Linked DNA regions of Schizosaccharomyces pombe. The gene in region 1 interacts genetically with each later gene. Each region holds a gene or a part of one and is shown on either strand. Other genes may lie near its edges.

Evidence for each region.
Region 2: mutations in ucp12 (region 1) and cyp3 together harm fitness more than expected from each alone (negative genetic interaction), as found in Schizosaccharomyces pombe (one large-scale study listed by BioGRID).
Region 3: mutations in ucp12 (region 1) and pof7 together harm fitness more than expected from each alone (negative genetic interaction), as found in Schizosaccharomyces pombe (one large-scale study listed by BioGRID).

Annotation. Positions count from the first base shown.
Region 1 is NC_003421.2:1,016,122-1,023,128, reverse strand, and holds ucp12 (ATP-dependent RNA helicase Ucp12), read left to right. Parts: upstream 1-1,814; 5' UTR 1,815-1,837; coding exon 1,838-2,101; exon of another isoform or gene 2,102-2,133; intron 2,134-2,172; coding exon 2,173-2,361; intron 2,362-2,420; coding exon 2,421-3,021; exon of another isoform or gene 3,022-3,062; coding exon 3,063-5,083; intron 5,084-5,126; coding exon 5,127-6,035; 3' UTR 6,036-6,433; downstream 6,434-7,007. Other genes in the region: SPOM_SPCC825.01 (ATP-binding cassette protein), read right to left, coding at 1-448. UniProt on the Schizosaccharomyces pombe protein: Probable ATP-binding RNA helicase.
Region 2 is NC_003423.3:1,102,959-1,106,591, reverse strand, and holds cyp3 (cyclophilin family peptidyl-prolyl cis-trans isomerase Cyp3), read left to right. Parts: upstream 1-1,922; 5' UTR 1,923-1,984; coding exon 1,985-2,014; exon of another isoform or gene 2,015-2,066; coding exon 2,067-2,131; exon of another isoform or gene 2,132-2,215; coding exon 2,216-2,233; exon of another isoform or gene 2,234-2,285; coding exon 2,286-2,332; exon of another isoform or gene 2,333-2,383; coding exon 2,384-2,451; exon of another isoform or gene 2,452-2,458; intron 2,459-2,528; coding exon 2,529-2,822; 3' UTR 2,823-2,908; downstream 2,909-3,633. Other genes in the region: ribosome-associated molecular chaperone Sks2, read right to left, coding at 1-136; SPOM_SPBC1709.03 (uncharacterized protein), read right to left, coding at 2,909-3,478, 3,517-3,633. UniProt on the Schizosaccharomyces pombe protein: PPIases accelerate the folding of proteins. It catalyzes the cis-trans isomerization of proline imidic peptide bonds in oligopeptides.
Region 3 is NC_003421.2:2,370,974-2,375,308, reverse strand, and holds pof7 (F-box protein Pof7), read left to right. Parts: upstream 1-1,971; 5' UTR 1,972-2,229; coding exon 2,230-3,315; 3' UTR 3,316-3,795; downstream 3,796-4,335. Other genes in the region: U3 associated protein Utp25, read left to right, coding at 1-1,189; SPOM_SPCC70.10 (uncharacterized protein), read right to left, coding at 3,949-4,335.

The DNA.
Region 1 (7,007 bases):
TTGATTTTTCAGATGACTCACTCTCTTCCTCATCTAGAGAGAGATCGTCCATGTCGTCAGCAAGTGCATCAAATGCATTCTTAGGACTAGCCTTTTTGCTAGATTTTTTATTCTTGCGAACTGGCTTTTCGGAGTCCTCTTCTTCCTCTTCTTCAACGCTTTGTTCATCAGCAAAAGCTTCAAAAGCATTAGCCTTGGCCTTTTTAGATTTTTTAGAAGGCTTTTTTTTCACAGGAACAACTTCCTCATCTACTTCATCGTCTTCCGGCTTCAGATCATAATTGGAGTCGTTATCACTATTGAAAGCACTTGCTTTATTCAGTTTCTTTTTGTTCTTCTTTGCTTTGGATTTAGTTACAGGTTGAGGGCTTTCACTCTCAATCTCACTTTGTAAGCTTTCAAGCTCCAAATCAGCATCACGTTGAGTTGAACGCTTTCCCCTAGCCATTATCAAATTATTCTTGTTAAGATTAGATGAGTCTTCAATAAATGATGCAGAAAAAGTGCGCAACCAGCAAAAAATGTAATTTCAAAAGTAAAATAATCCTTGAAAGAGTTATTACAATTATTCTCTTTATTTAAAATTTTTTTTTAAAAGAATTGACCGATTATTTACCCAATTTTAAATGGACAAGCGACTTTTGCAGTTAGCTGTAGAGGTCAAATGGCATAGTGAAAAATTAATATATATGTGCAAGTGTTAGGGCCAACAGGAGGCAATTTAAGTCTGAACCTAAGAGGTTGAATTAAGAAAAATTAAACAATAAGAAGCATGTTTATAAGGATTCTTTGCTATTTACCATAAAAGTGTAGTCTCAGGCAATATTCGCAAAAAAACCTAGGAAATCTCTTACATTATTACATAGTTTATTAGGTAGCGAGAAAACCTGAATGATACGCTGGAAGAAATTTGTAAAGGATTTTTAGCTTTTTATTTTATAAACTTAAAGGGAAATTATAGTAATTAGGATCTAGTTGGGAGACTAGTCAACCATATATGGTAAAAAATACCTCTTAAATTTTCAGCCCTTAAGACGCTTGCACGGATATTTCCCCAGTTTATACAGTACAGATTTGAAGTAAACGCTTTAATCCTTTGATCCTGTGGAGAATTTAGCGAATTGTCAAAATCCCCAGGTCAACATTGCTCCATAAATTATGAACCTTTGCTAGTGCTAATGAATATTATTCAATTCAAACGAAGATGTAAGTCTGTTTATAAGTGAGCCAGAAAAAGTAAGGTCTCTTTAAGGATTTGCTCGAAGACAGGAAACTCATCATCATCTGAAACACTCATACGTCTCAATGATCGATCATTCTTTAAACGCTGTGGATTTATATAACCGGTATTTTGTCTTGAAACTTTGCGAATTGAATTCCATATTCTCAAAAGTGACGTTGAGAATGCTTCTTACTATTCCTGTTTGCGCCATGATTTGTTAAAATTGCAAAAGAAAAAGGTAATCCTGATCAAAAAAATTTCTAAATGCTCTTATACGCGTATGTCCAACTGCGTACTTATTACCAATGTTGACAGCTGTAGTACACGTACGGGGGATGTTTAAATCAATAGCAAAAACATCCTAAAAGAAATATAATCAATAAACGCTTTCAACGCTTCACAATAATTAAATTCAAACACCCAACTTTCTGATTTTCAATAACGCAATATACCTTCTTCTTTCATGTGTGATGTATTTATTTTACCAAAAATTTGATGGAATTAACTTTGACTTAGAATAAGAATTACCTTCTTGGATAAATTAGTTTTCTCAATTATTCATCAACTCAGCACACTGGCTTAAAAATTCTTTGCGTTCAACCATATTACCATCGAATGGGTTCAAAAGGAAAAAAGGGAAAATCATCGGAGGTTAATTTAGAAACTTCAAAAAACAAGGAAAAAAATATCAAAGGGAAAAAGAAAAACTCACTTGATCCAATTGAAAAAAATAAACAGGAAACAGCAGGCCTGCAAACGACTTCACGTCCTACTGCCAAACAGTTAGTAGGAGGAAGCTCTTGGACTGGAAAAATTCCTGTCGTTTTACTAAATGAACATTGCCAAAGAAGTAAATGGGAGAAAAGTGATGTTAAGGTGGTAAGTCAGCTCTTAAAAGATGCGAATTAACCAATCTATCGAACACATACTTACTAAAATCTTCTAAACAGAGGCAAACCAAATCTAAAAATTACATTTTTACTTCTGTCGTACTTGCTAAGAAGGACCCAAAAAACCCTTCGATATTAGACCATGTATCTCTGATTCCTCCCAAGTCCTATTATGAGAATGGCTACTTTCCTGAAAAAGAAACGTTAGTGGAAGCACGAAATGTTGGCGCCGTTTATGCTTTGCATCGAGTAAGGATCTATACTTATTTATTTTCAAGCAATCATTAACCAACTTTAATTTCTAACAGATAATGTCTCATAAATCATTACAACATGCCCTTCCACCTGAACATCGGAATATATGGTTTGATATGGAGAAACAAAAGAAGGAAGAGCTAAAAAATAAGCACAGCTGGCTTTACAATGAAGATCCCTTCAAAGCAGCCAAAGAACTACAGGCAGCACGCGCTTCTTCAGCTGCCAAACCACCGCCAAAAGCATCTCAGAAAAATGAAAAGGTCTCTTTGACATCTATCAAAAACACAAGCCTTTCACACTTCTCAAAGTTCAATTTCAAATATGCTCTTCCTATTCACATGAGTCTTGAAAATCGTCGCTCTCTAGAGAACCTTTTTCGCAATATGAACACGTGGGATATACTAGAGGATACAAAAAATTTAGAGCCCGATACTTCTATTGTTAATGATTTAATTTCTTTAGGTTTTCGAGACATTCATGCTAAAGAAGCTTGTCAGTACTGTGTTTCCCTTGAAGATGCTTTAGAGTGGCTAATCATTCATGTTCCAGAAGACGATCTTCCTACAAGATTTCTTCCTTCTGATTATACAACAGGAATATCTGTTCAGAATCTAAATTCAGCGAATCTGGCCATTCACTACAACGCTAAACGTATGTGCGTATGACATTTGTTCAACACTAACTATTAACAGGGATTTCGGAGACGGGCTATAGCTTTGACTTATGTTTTTCTACTCTTCAAACTTTTGAAAATAACATTCAAATTAGTTCAGAGTACTTACAGCAGCATCTAATTGGTGAAAGCTTTGATGGGAATATATCTTTGGAACCAAATAGTACCGAATGGGATGATGATGTTAGTGCTTTGCAATCTATTTTGGATAATAAGGTCTCAAAAATAGAGAATGGATGTAGAGTGCGTATTGACTACCCGACTAGTGAATTTGGTGAGCTTTTCGTCGATTTTAGAAGGCCTGCCCGTTCGTATCCTGCACACATTCCTTTAATGTCTCTATCCTCTACAAAAAGAATGGCATCCTATATTAAGTTGAGTATTCTTAAAAAGATGGTTGTTTACGCAATGGATCTTAGAGGTGAATGCATGTTATCCTGGTTGTATAATCATCTTCAGGAAAATATTGAAGACTTTTTACAAAATATTGGAAGCTTACTAAATATTTCAGCTGCAACAATTGGTGTCTCTTTATCCTCTCAAAACAAGTCTGCGCCGACTGCCAAAAAGAATAACAGTTTCAAGCCAAAATTATTTCGCCGTTCGCGCGAATTATCTGAAAAATTATGTAATAACTGGAGTGAGAGGGTTAAAAGTCCTTCATATCAATTAAAAGTTCGTGAACGTGAGAAACTCCCTGCATGGGAATCAAGGAGAAAAATTATGGACGCCATACAGCATTCTCAAGTTGTTGTTATAAGTGGTGAAACTGGTAGTGGAAAATCAACACAAGTAGTTCAATTTATCTTGGACCATTATCTTTCTTCTGGAGAAAAAGATTTGCAAACAGTTGTTTGTACACAGCCAAGGAGAATATCTGCGATAAGTTTGGCGGAAAGAGTTGCCTTCGAACGTGATACAACTGTTGGAAAAGAAGTTGGTTACAGTGTACATGGTGAAAAATCCATATCTAAAGAAACCCTTCTTGAGTTTTGCACTACAGGTTTGCTTCTTAGAAGAATTCAGCAACATGGTCTAGGCTTTTTGAGTACTTTATCTTGTGTTGTTGTAGATGAAGTACATGAAAGATCCATCGAAAATGATATACTCTTAACACTTTTGAAACTAGTAATTTCTCGTATCCCAAATTTGAAAGTCATTTTGATGAGTGCCACGGTGAACTCCGATACATTCAAATATTATTTTGGAAATGCTGGTCATTTACATATTCACGGCCGTACTTTTCCGATCAAGGATTACTACATTGAGGATTTTGCGCCTAAGCTAAATGAAGATGATGACGAGGAAGACGTTCCCAGAAGAAAGAAAAAAGAATATGAAATTGATTATCATCTTATTTCTAGACTTGTTAGTTCTATTGATGCTGAACTTGGTTCCTCTAGTGGTTCTATATTGGTTTTCCTTCCCGGTGTCTCAAACATAGCTCGTTGTATTCGTGAAATAAAATCAAAAGACGGCTCAAAATTTGAGGTCCTCCCATTACATGCCTCTTTGAATACTTCGGAGCAAAGGAGATGTTTCAAAACATACACAAAGCGGAAGATCATATGTGCAACAAATATTGCGGAGACTTCAATTACTATTGATGATGTTGTTGCCGTTATTGACAGCGGCAGAGTTAAGCAAATTGATTATGATGTTGAACGAGATCTGGTGACTTTTAAAGAGACTTGGGCCTCAAGAGCTGCTTGTCAACAACGCCGGGGTCGGGCGGGTCGTGTTAAGAAAGGAATATGTTATAAGTTATATACAAGAGGATTTGAAGAAAAAGGAATGCTAGGCCAAACACCTCCCGAAGTTTTACGGACGGCTTTAAGTCAGGTTTGTCTTAACGTAGTTCCTTTGGTCAAGAGATTTTCTTCTGCTGGTAATTCTGTGAACCAGGGTTCAATCAAAAAATTTATGAACAGCCTTATTGATCCACCGAATGATGCAACGGTAGACCTTGCTTTGAAAAAACTAATTCAAGTCGGTGCTCTCACCGTGTCAGAAGATTTAACTGGTTTAGGAGAATACTTAGTAAGTAATGATGTGTTTTTATGTGAAACTAATATAATTTTAGGTGTCATTACCCATAGATCTAAAGCTTGGAAAGCTTTTGGTGTTTGGTTCGATCTTTGGATATTTGGAACCTGCGCTTACTATTACAGCTATTCTCTCTACAAAGTCTCCTTTCTTAGGAGACGATGAAGCTAGGGAAATAAGGAGTAAACAAAGTCAAGGATGGGGAGATGTTTTGGCTGATGCTCGAGTATATCACAACTGGCTCGAAATACTAGAAACCAGGGGTGTAAAGAAAACAGTTCAGTGGTGTGAAGAGATGCATCTTCATTACACAACGTTACAACAAATTCGACAGAATCGAAACGAATTGAGCGAAGCTGCACAGCTACTTGAACTAACTACTAAAAAGCTGACTGGTAACTTTGATTGGTATTCAACTGAAAACCTGACTGTTCTATCGACTCTAATTGCTGCTGCTTTAAGTCCCAATGTTGTGAAATGTGTTTATCCTGATAAAAAATTTGTTGCTTCATTTTCTGGATCGCTTGAAATGGAGCAGGAAGCTCGCCTGACGAAGTTTTATGATCAAAACAACCAAAGGTTATTCATACATCCTTCAAGTACTATGTTTGTTAATTCTCCAAATGCTTCAAGATGTACGTTCGTGGCATATGAGCAAAAGGTAGAAACCACGAAACCTTTCCTTAGAAATTGTACACCTATCAATACATATGGAATGATTTTGCTGGGAGCAAATGATATACTCATTGATCCTCTTGGTAAGGGATTAATACTTGATCAAGCATATTGCATTAAAGCGTGGCCTAAAGTCGTTATTTTATTAAAAATGCTAAAAAGATGTCTTGATGCCTCATTACATGAGCGATTGGAATCTTCGTCGGGGTTAAACTACGAAAGTGAAATACATCAATGTATTCGTACTCTGATTGCAGGCAACGGTGTTTAGCTCCCCTTCTCTATTTCCTTGAAAGAGCATAAATGGTACAAATCACTTTTATTGTTCAAATGAGGCAGGTTATACCTAAAAAAAGATTATTATTTTGGAACAGTTTATGATCTTAATTTTTCAACTCAATACAGGACGGACACGATAAATTTTCTTTTAATATTTTATTGCCTTACTGACATTTAACATAAAAAAGGGATCATTTAACTCCGCGTCTACTTGCTTTAGGAGGTGCTGAATAAGATTGTTTATTTACCAACATAATTCATGTATTTGAAAATTATTTTTTTACTCAAACAACTGAAAAGCTAATACTTCCTTACCCGTTCACCTGTATTTACATTCCATTTTACGAGATGATAAATTTCATTAAAGTTAAGTGAAAACTTCGTTGTGCCTCAGTATCAGAAATATGGAGCTTAGCAACAGTAATTAGTATGTCTTTTGCACTCTCTGTAAGGATACGAAAAACTGTGTCGGCATTTCTTTGTAATGTATAATATAATGGAGGTAATATTACTTTGCTATCCTTAGTATGACTAGGGCTATAGAGTATACCATTATAAATATAATAATAACTTTTATCGACCTAATGGAAGAATGAGAGTTCATTTGGGCTTCATGCTTTTTATTAAGTTTTATTTTGGAATAAAGGATTAACTTGCATGTCATATTGTGAGTATCAGTCTCATGCCCAACGTTACTAAAGAGCACTCATTGTATAATGATAGCTAACGCCGCTCATATGGTGAATGATAACGATAGAACTAATTATACTGAAGCTTCGTTATTTCATTGTTATGACCCTCTCATTTAAATGACATATCTCGTACAACATCTCCTCCATTTAATTTACGAAAACTATAAATTGCCAAGTATTCTTTTCAATTCTTTGTTAAAGGATTGTAAGGTTAAGCTTGACGTTGAAATGTCTCTTTTTTGGTGCCCTTGATTGTCTCTGCCCTTAATTTA
Region 2 (3,633 bases), on another chromosome or scaffold:
AAGCGACAAATGAGGGAGTGGTACGTGCACCTTGGTCATTGGGGATAATCTCAACATTGGCGGTTTCCCATACAGCAACGCAAGAGTAGGTAGTACCCAAGTCGATACCAATAGCACCTTCATAAACTTCACTCATTTTCAAGCAACAAGAAGTTAAAACTGACCCTCGATTTTTTTGAGAGAAGTAGGTTATTGTGAAGATTTTTTTTGTGAGTCACAAGTATATAACAGTATCAGCAGTCACAAATAATATACATATATTTTTTTCATATTTCTTTTCTGCTATTGTATTTTATTATTTAATATATTTATTTTTCCATATACTGTATTTTCGGTCGAAATATGGATCCCGCAAATTTTCCCGATTTTTGTTTAACCCGCGATCAAGCAGGTGACTTTCAAAGGCAATTGTGTCAAACATAAAATTTCCGCTGCCCAAAAGAATTTTTCAGATTTAGGGTGGTAAATTTTTTTTCGTAAATTGTTAAATAAAGAATGACTTTACACATCATTAAATGATTTATTTTTGATTTTTTGGTTTCACTATGGCTCAAATAATGCTCTTTTGTACTACTTTAATTTTAGCCTAAAGTGAATGTGGTATATATAGTAAAAAGTAAATAAATGAAAGATGTACTAGAAAATCAACTAACTTATTTATTGTAGTGGTATTTATTGTATTTCTCTAGCTGGAATGAGTATTTATTTAACCTGATTTTACGCAAGCAAGTATAAAAATTACATTTTTTGTAAACTAGTTTATCATGCTGACAACTCCTTAGTTTATTTAATTGTGTATTTTAGTATCAAATAATAACTAAAGTATTCCAAAGTTTTCGCACCATGGAATTGTTATCGTTGTTTAGACTGTAACATAAAAACACTATTACTGTTGTTCATAATCTCTGCATTCATGGTCTGATAAATGTATATTGCCTGTTAAACAATTGATAAACATTATATCTATGAAGGGGATTTCGAATTTCAAACAGATAAAAACGAGTACACTATAGGTAATAGAAATTTTATATTGAATAGCTTAATTATCTCTTCACTACCTTAAAACAATTCTTTCGGATTAATGAACTTTTTATAAGGTCTTAAAAAAGTTCCAATACTGTTAATAATATGAAGCGTTTTGAATTTTGAAATTATTTTTATTTTTATTTACAAAATCAAAATACTTTAAAAAAACACAGAGCCAAAAAAAAGATAGAAAATATAGAACATATAAAATAAAGTAAATTAAATAAGTATATCCTCATAGCATGTGAGCAAGGTTTGAGAAAAAGCTGTTGAAAAACAACTTTAAAATATTCTAAAATCTAAAAGCGCTAGTAAAAATTAAAATTTCTAAAAGGAGCAAAAGTAATACATAATGATTTTGGGTATACTACAACAACTGCTATTACAGTTTCTGTATCTTCTTTCCTATTCATTTTTTTGGACAATTTATGTGTTTATTCTTCTGACTGAACCTTTCTGTTTACGTATATGTACATAGATGTATACTACTACTAAGCTGGTTTAAAGGTATGAGGATAAGGTTGATTTCGACTACAAGTTAGGAGCATCGGTTATAATATGAATTTTTAAGCAAAGAAAAGTGTTTCTTTAAAAAAAAAAAAAAAAAAAAAAAAAAAAAAAAAACAAGCTAGCCTAATTGTAGCGTAGTTTTAGCTGTAAGGATTCTTGTTTTTCGCACTTTTCCTGGGATACATAAATAAATAACGGAATGCGGATTAAAAGAATAATGAAAGCAAAGAAAAATAGATTTCTTTCTTGTGTAAATGATTGCCTTTGATGGATTATTTTAATGATTTTCGTAGAAATTCTGCTCCCCTCCAACTCGTGAAAGCCCAAGTCTCAAATGTTCGTCAACACCCAGCGAGTAAAGTGAGAACATACAAATTAGCATCTTCAAGTCGCAAACCAGAAAATTTTATGAGCATCTTCCAGACATTTACCAAATTAACTTGTTAAAATGAGCACCGAACCTGTTGTTTTTATGGATGTATGGACGTCGTATTTACTAAACTCTCGAAAATACTAATTTTGGACAATAGATTGCTATTGATGGGAGATTATTAGGAAGGATCAAGATCCGGTTGTTTTCCAGTATAGTCCCGAAGTATGTAATTAATAATCTAAAGCCAATTTTTAACTTGAATAATTATTGATTTATTGTGAAATAAAGTGCTGACATTGAATTTAGGACTGCTGAAAACTTCAGGTAATCAAACAATTGATTGTTGGTTTTCAAGATTTTTATTTCTAATAGTTAGACAATTTTGTACAGGAGAAACGCTTGGAGTTAATCAAAAACCGATCGGTAAGCACTTTCGGCCATCAGATTCAGACTACTAATTATTAAAATCAAAAGGTTACAAAAATAGTACTTTTCATAGGATTATTCAAGGTTTTATGATACAAGGAGGTGATTTTGTGAGTGTATGTGTTAGAAAAAAGACCGTGTCATAGCCGGTTTTTTACAATTATTCCTTTAGACTATATTAACTGATGATTAGGGAGATGGTACTGGCAGCGCGACCATTTTCAATTCACGTACATTTCCTGACGAAAATTTTACTCTCAAACATGATCGCCCTGGTTTACTGAGTATGGCTAATGCTGGGAAAGACTCAAATGGATGCCAATTCTTTATTACTACCGTTCCTTGCGATTTTTTGGACGGCAAACATGTCGTCTTTGGCGAAGTAATTGAGGGCTACGACATTGTTAAAGAAATTGAATCTACTCCTGTTGGAGCAAATTCACGACCCAAGTCAAACGTTGCGATAGTCGAATGTGGAGAAATGTAGGCACGATATTTATATATACTAGGTTTCATAAGAAGCAACTCTTACATATCATTAAAAATATCTAATTATTAAAGCAGAAAAATAGGTTATGTGGTTTTCTTGATGACTGTTGCAGTAGAAGTCAAAACATTAGCCAATTCTTCTTGTCCAATGCTAAACAATAACATTATGCTAAATATTAATAGTCCAAAACCAATAATAGTAAACCAAAAGAAAAATTGAAACTCCACAGAGATATCCTGCTTAGAGCAACTTTCTCCAGCCCATCTAATAGTTTTGTTCTGGCCAGCAGCATTTGAAACCACGGAATTGGAACATTGGCAGACATAACAGGAGTCCAACTGACCATACTTGGAACATCTTCCATGACCAGAACAATCATTGGTGGCCTTTGAGCAAGCTTCCTCAGATATATAACAGCGACCATTGTAATTCTTTTCATAGCTAGCAACGACTTCCTCTATTTCTTCTCCGAATGCTTCCATGTCTACTTGACGCTTATGATATCTAGTAGAAGTTTCGGAGGAATCGATAGGAGGAAGTAAAATAAAGGTATATGTGGAGGATACCTGCTTAATCATTGACAAAAGAGTCATCATATTCTCGCGAGCTACTTGGTAAATCTTTGAATCTTTACCATATTTCTCATACAAAGCCTAAGGTGTTAAAAAAAAAGACATAAAGAAAACCATACCTCTAATCCGACTAATTGGCCGATAACAATACTGGTATCGGACCGCTCTTGTTGCGATTTTGAGCTTAAAAATTCGACAAGGATTTTTAGAGCGTATATTTCAGAAAGGAAAACTCT
Region 3 (4,335 bases), 1.4 Mb from region 1:
GCCTAAAGTATTAATTCTTTTACCCACAAGGAATAGTGCTTTTGAATTCATTAATTTACTTATTTCATATTCTGGGACTAATCAAGTAGAAAATCGAAAGCGTTTTGATAATGAATTCTCGATTGAAAAAGAAGTCATTTCAGAAAAAAAGCCAGAAGATTTTCGTTATCTTTTTTCCGGAAATACCGACGATATGTTTCGACTGGGTGTTAAATTTACAAGAAAAACTGTCAAGCTATTTTCCCAGTTTTACAATTCTGACATTATAGTTGCTAGTCCTTTGGGACTTCGTCTTGCTATTGGTAACAAGGGAGATAAAAAGCGAGACCTCGATTATTTGAGTTCGATTGAAATAGCAATGGTTGACCAAGCTCATGCTCTCGTGATGCAAAACTGGGAACATATTGAATGCATTTTTGATGAACTTAATGGTTTGCCTAAAGAAGCTCACGGTTGTGATTTCAGTCGTGTTCGTCCTTGGTATCTTGATCAGCAAGCCAGATATATGCGCCAAACTATACTATTTTCTCAATATAACAATCTAGATATAAATTCTTTCTTTTCTCACTACATGTCAAATATTGCTGGTAAGGTTAAATTTCGCTCGCTTCTTCACGGTGTTTTAAACCGCTTGGGGTACAAAGTGACTCAAACTTTTGTTCGCATTTCTGTCGATTCTATTATTAAAGTTCCAGATGCCCGCTTTTCCTATTTTACTGGTTCTATACTAGTACAACTAAAGAAGTATTCCCAGAGTGGTATTTTAGTTTATATACCTTCATATTTTGATTTTGTTCGTGTGAGAAATTACATGGATGAGGAGGGAATTAACTATTCTGCCATATCAGAATATTCGAGTGTATCCGATATGACTAGAGCCCGCAATCTTTTTTATCAAGGTAGAACCAATATAATGCTATATACTGAGCGCGCTCACCATTTCCGTCGATTTGACTTTAGGGGTGTAAAAGCTGTTGTGATGTATGGTCCCCCAACGAATCCTCAGTTTTATGTTGAACTTGTTAGAATGCCGATGAGAACCATCTCTGAAGGAAACCTTGACAGTGATGCAGCAAAGTGTAGAATTATGTATACAAAGTTTGATTCTATTTGCCTGGAAGGCATAGTGGGATATCAGCGTGTATCAAACATGTGTCATGGTAAACATGAAGTTTTTGAATTTCTTTAAAAGAATACGAAAAAAATTTTTTTAAAAAGGAATTAGGGGTCATTTGGATTTTTGGATGAAAGAGCTACAAAATTACTACTTTAAAACAATAGAATAGCTTAAAATGTACTTTATTTGGACCATTCCGCTTTGCTTTATTTATTGAGAGCGAATGAGTAAATAGCTACTTGAATGATTTAACTTGACAGTGCTTTTTAAATGTTTTCAATATATAATTTTTTTTATACTTATTTCAAGATTCATATAGCGATTGGAAGGCATCGTACATTATCAATGAGTTTGGTTTCGACTGTGTTCCCGAAACCATATCTAAATCTCAATTGCTTTTGACGAAGATATGCTGAGAATTATCCGAAAGCAAAGCGGGATATGTATCTACTCGTTTATTAACAATAAAAATCGCTATCATATTCACCATAAATAAATGCAGTAATGCTACATGAAGCTGGTAATTATTACAATAATTCATCAAATCGAAATGTTTTCTATATCGCTAAAATCCTAATATCCACTTAGCTTATTGCCAAGTAACTTTTGATTTGAACAAGTTTTAAGTTTATGTAATGGTTTCGCAAGTCCTAACGCCTTGTTAGAAGTGATAGAATCGAAGACACCTACAAATATGCCCATAGCCAAATAGCATCTCAAACATGTTACAATATTTATCTAGTCCATTTTTTAAACAGTAAAGAAGCGACGATTGACTCAATTTAATCTTCTTCTTCTTGTTATCAAACCGCCACAACTTGATATTAAACGCAACGGCTAACTACCCATGAACTAAACCATATTGTTACCAAAGTAAGGTCTTGTGAAAGGATGCTTTTAATCCTTAAATCCTTGTTAATACTTTGCTAGGAATTGTATGAAAAGTAAAAAACATAAAAGTCATTAGTTAGGTTCAGCACTATCTTAACCTCTTAATATTCGTGTTGAATTCTTTTTTTTTTTTTCTATTTTGAGAGAAATAAGTAAGAAAATATTTTCTTTTTCAATTATACATCTACTTTCGATTGCTCGTCTGAGAAATAAAATAAGTGATGAGTACAGTAGAGGATCAACTTTCTCTTGAACTTGAAACAGTGAACAAGGATATACTGTTGAAAAAAGCACTTTTACATTACAAAGATGCTATAAAATCTGAAAGAGAAGGAAATTTAGGTGAATCTCTTAATAAATATCGATTAGCTCATAAAGTCCATGAAGATGTGGAATCTATCTATCGGCGTTTGGAGCGTTTGCAACTGTGTAAAAGAAATGAAGAGGAGGAAATGTTAAATTCAGATGCATCAGAAGCTATGCTCACTGTTTCCTCAGTCCCATCTCCAACGTTAACGGAAAATGAGTCTGTAAATGAGTCGGTCGTTCCCAATATACTGAAGCTTCCCGACGAGGTTTTGCTAGTTATCCTAGAGAATTGCATTAGGGACCTTCATGATTTAAGATATCTCTCTTCAATTGCACTAACTTGTAAGCATTTTGCGAAGGCATTACGAGCAGATTCTCTATATAGATCGTTTTGTTATTGCAGTTGTGAACAAAAAGAATGGCAACAGTCTATTAAGTCAATAGAGGAAGAACTCGTGGAAAAATACCAGCAAAGCTGGAAGACTTTGTTCCTTAAAAAGCCTCGATCTCGTTTTGACGGATGCTACATATCCGTTTGTCGATACTTTCGACCTGGAACTAGTGACACGAGCTGGAACCAACCCATACATTTGATCACATACTACCGGTATTTACGACTTTATCCTAATTCAACATGTATCGTTTATCAAAGCAGTAATGAACCAAATGATGTTGTTCGCAACTTCAGTGTGCAAAACACCAGTCTTTTTTCTCCTATGTCGAGTTCTCCTATGTTTAGTAATGGAAACGTAGCACTCACTGGCTCCTGGTCAATGACTCCTTCTGGAGAAATGCTAATTGTGTATCCCGCAAGTCAAACTTATACATACGTTCAAAAACTTCAAGTTCGTGGAATAAGGCTTAAGTGGATTTCTTTCTACTCCATCCATAATTATACCTCATTCACGAACGAAATGCCACTCACTCACAATCGTGACTATGTTTTCTCCAGAGTATATAGCTATACTGCTGACTCAGAGTCACTAAAACGTGGCTAGTCTTACTTTTTGGAATACTAATTTAGAAACCGCGGAAATGATTAATTATCTATTATAGGTCGCATCGTGAGAGGATTTAAAGAAATTATTTTTTATTAATATTAATGCCATCATTATTCTTCGCATGGAAATATATCATTAACATACATTTACAAATGAACAACAGATGCTTAACAAATTTTTGGAAGTACAAAGTTATAAACAATCCTAAGTCCAAGGAAACATGCGTGATACTTGAGGAGAAAAGAGTAAATAGAATGCACAAAACTTAAAAAATAAAAGAGGAAAACCCACGAAATGGAATATTAAACGTATCAGTTTCTTGAAGTCCAGATCGAATATTCATAAAGAAAACCATAAAACCATTCGTAATCATGTTCGTAAAAAATCCCTGCTTTTTTACCACAAATAAATAAACTAAAGGCAACATAAAAAATCGCCATATCGAAGCATTGAATGACAAAAGTAAAACATGGAGAAATATCGGAGAGCAATAATTCAACATGAAGATTCCGTTTTAAAGTTAACAAACGGATTTATTTTGGATAATAAAATTAAAGTAAATTAGTTTCGTAAAGAGAAAAAGAGAAAGGATTAACGAAACTGTAGAAAATCGCTCATTTCTATTCAAAGCTAAACCATTTCCTCTGGAGGTCTGTAAACTGGTGGTGGTGAAGCTGGTCGTTCGTGATTTACAGCTTCGGTTGCTGCAGGGCTTGCTTCATTTTGGGGTGTATTGCTTGCAGTAGCAGCTGGACTATATGGAGGTGGGACTTCTTCAGGCAAATTTTCAGAAACGGTAGTAGTTGTATTCGGGTGTGCCATTACATGTGTATACCGAACAGAGCCACGACGAGGTGAGCCAATTGGAGATGTATATACAGTTGCAGGAACGTATGCAGACTGGGGAGATGTAGGTGAACGGCGAGGAACTGCTGTTGCGCCAGGCCTAGCGCGAGCTTCTGCCATGGGGCGTGTAGTTGCTGGTTTGGTCTGTCCAGCCCTTGCCTGTCGACGGCG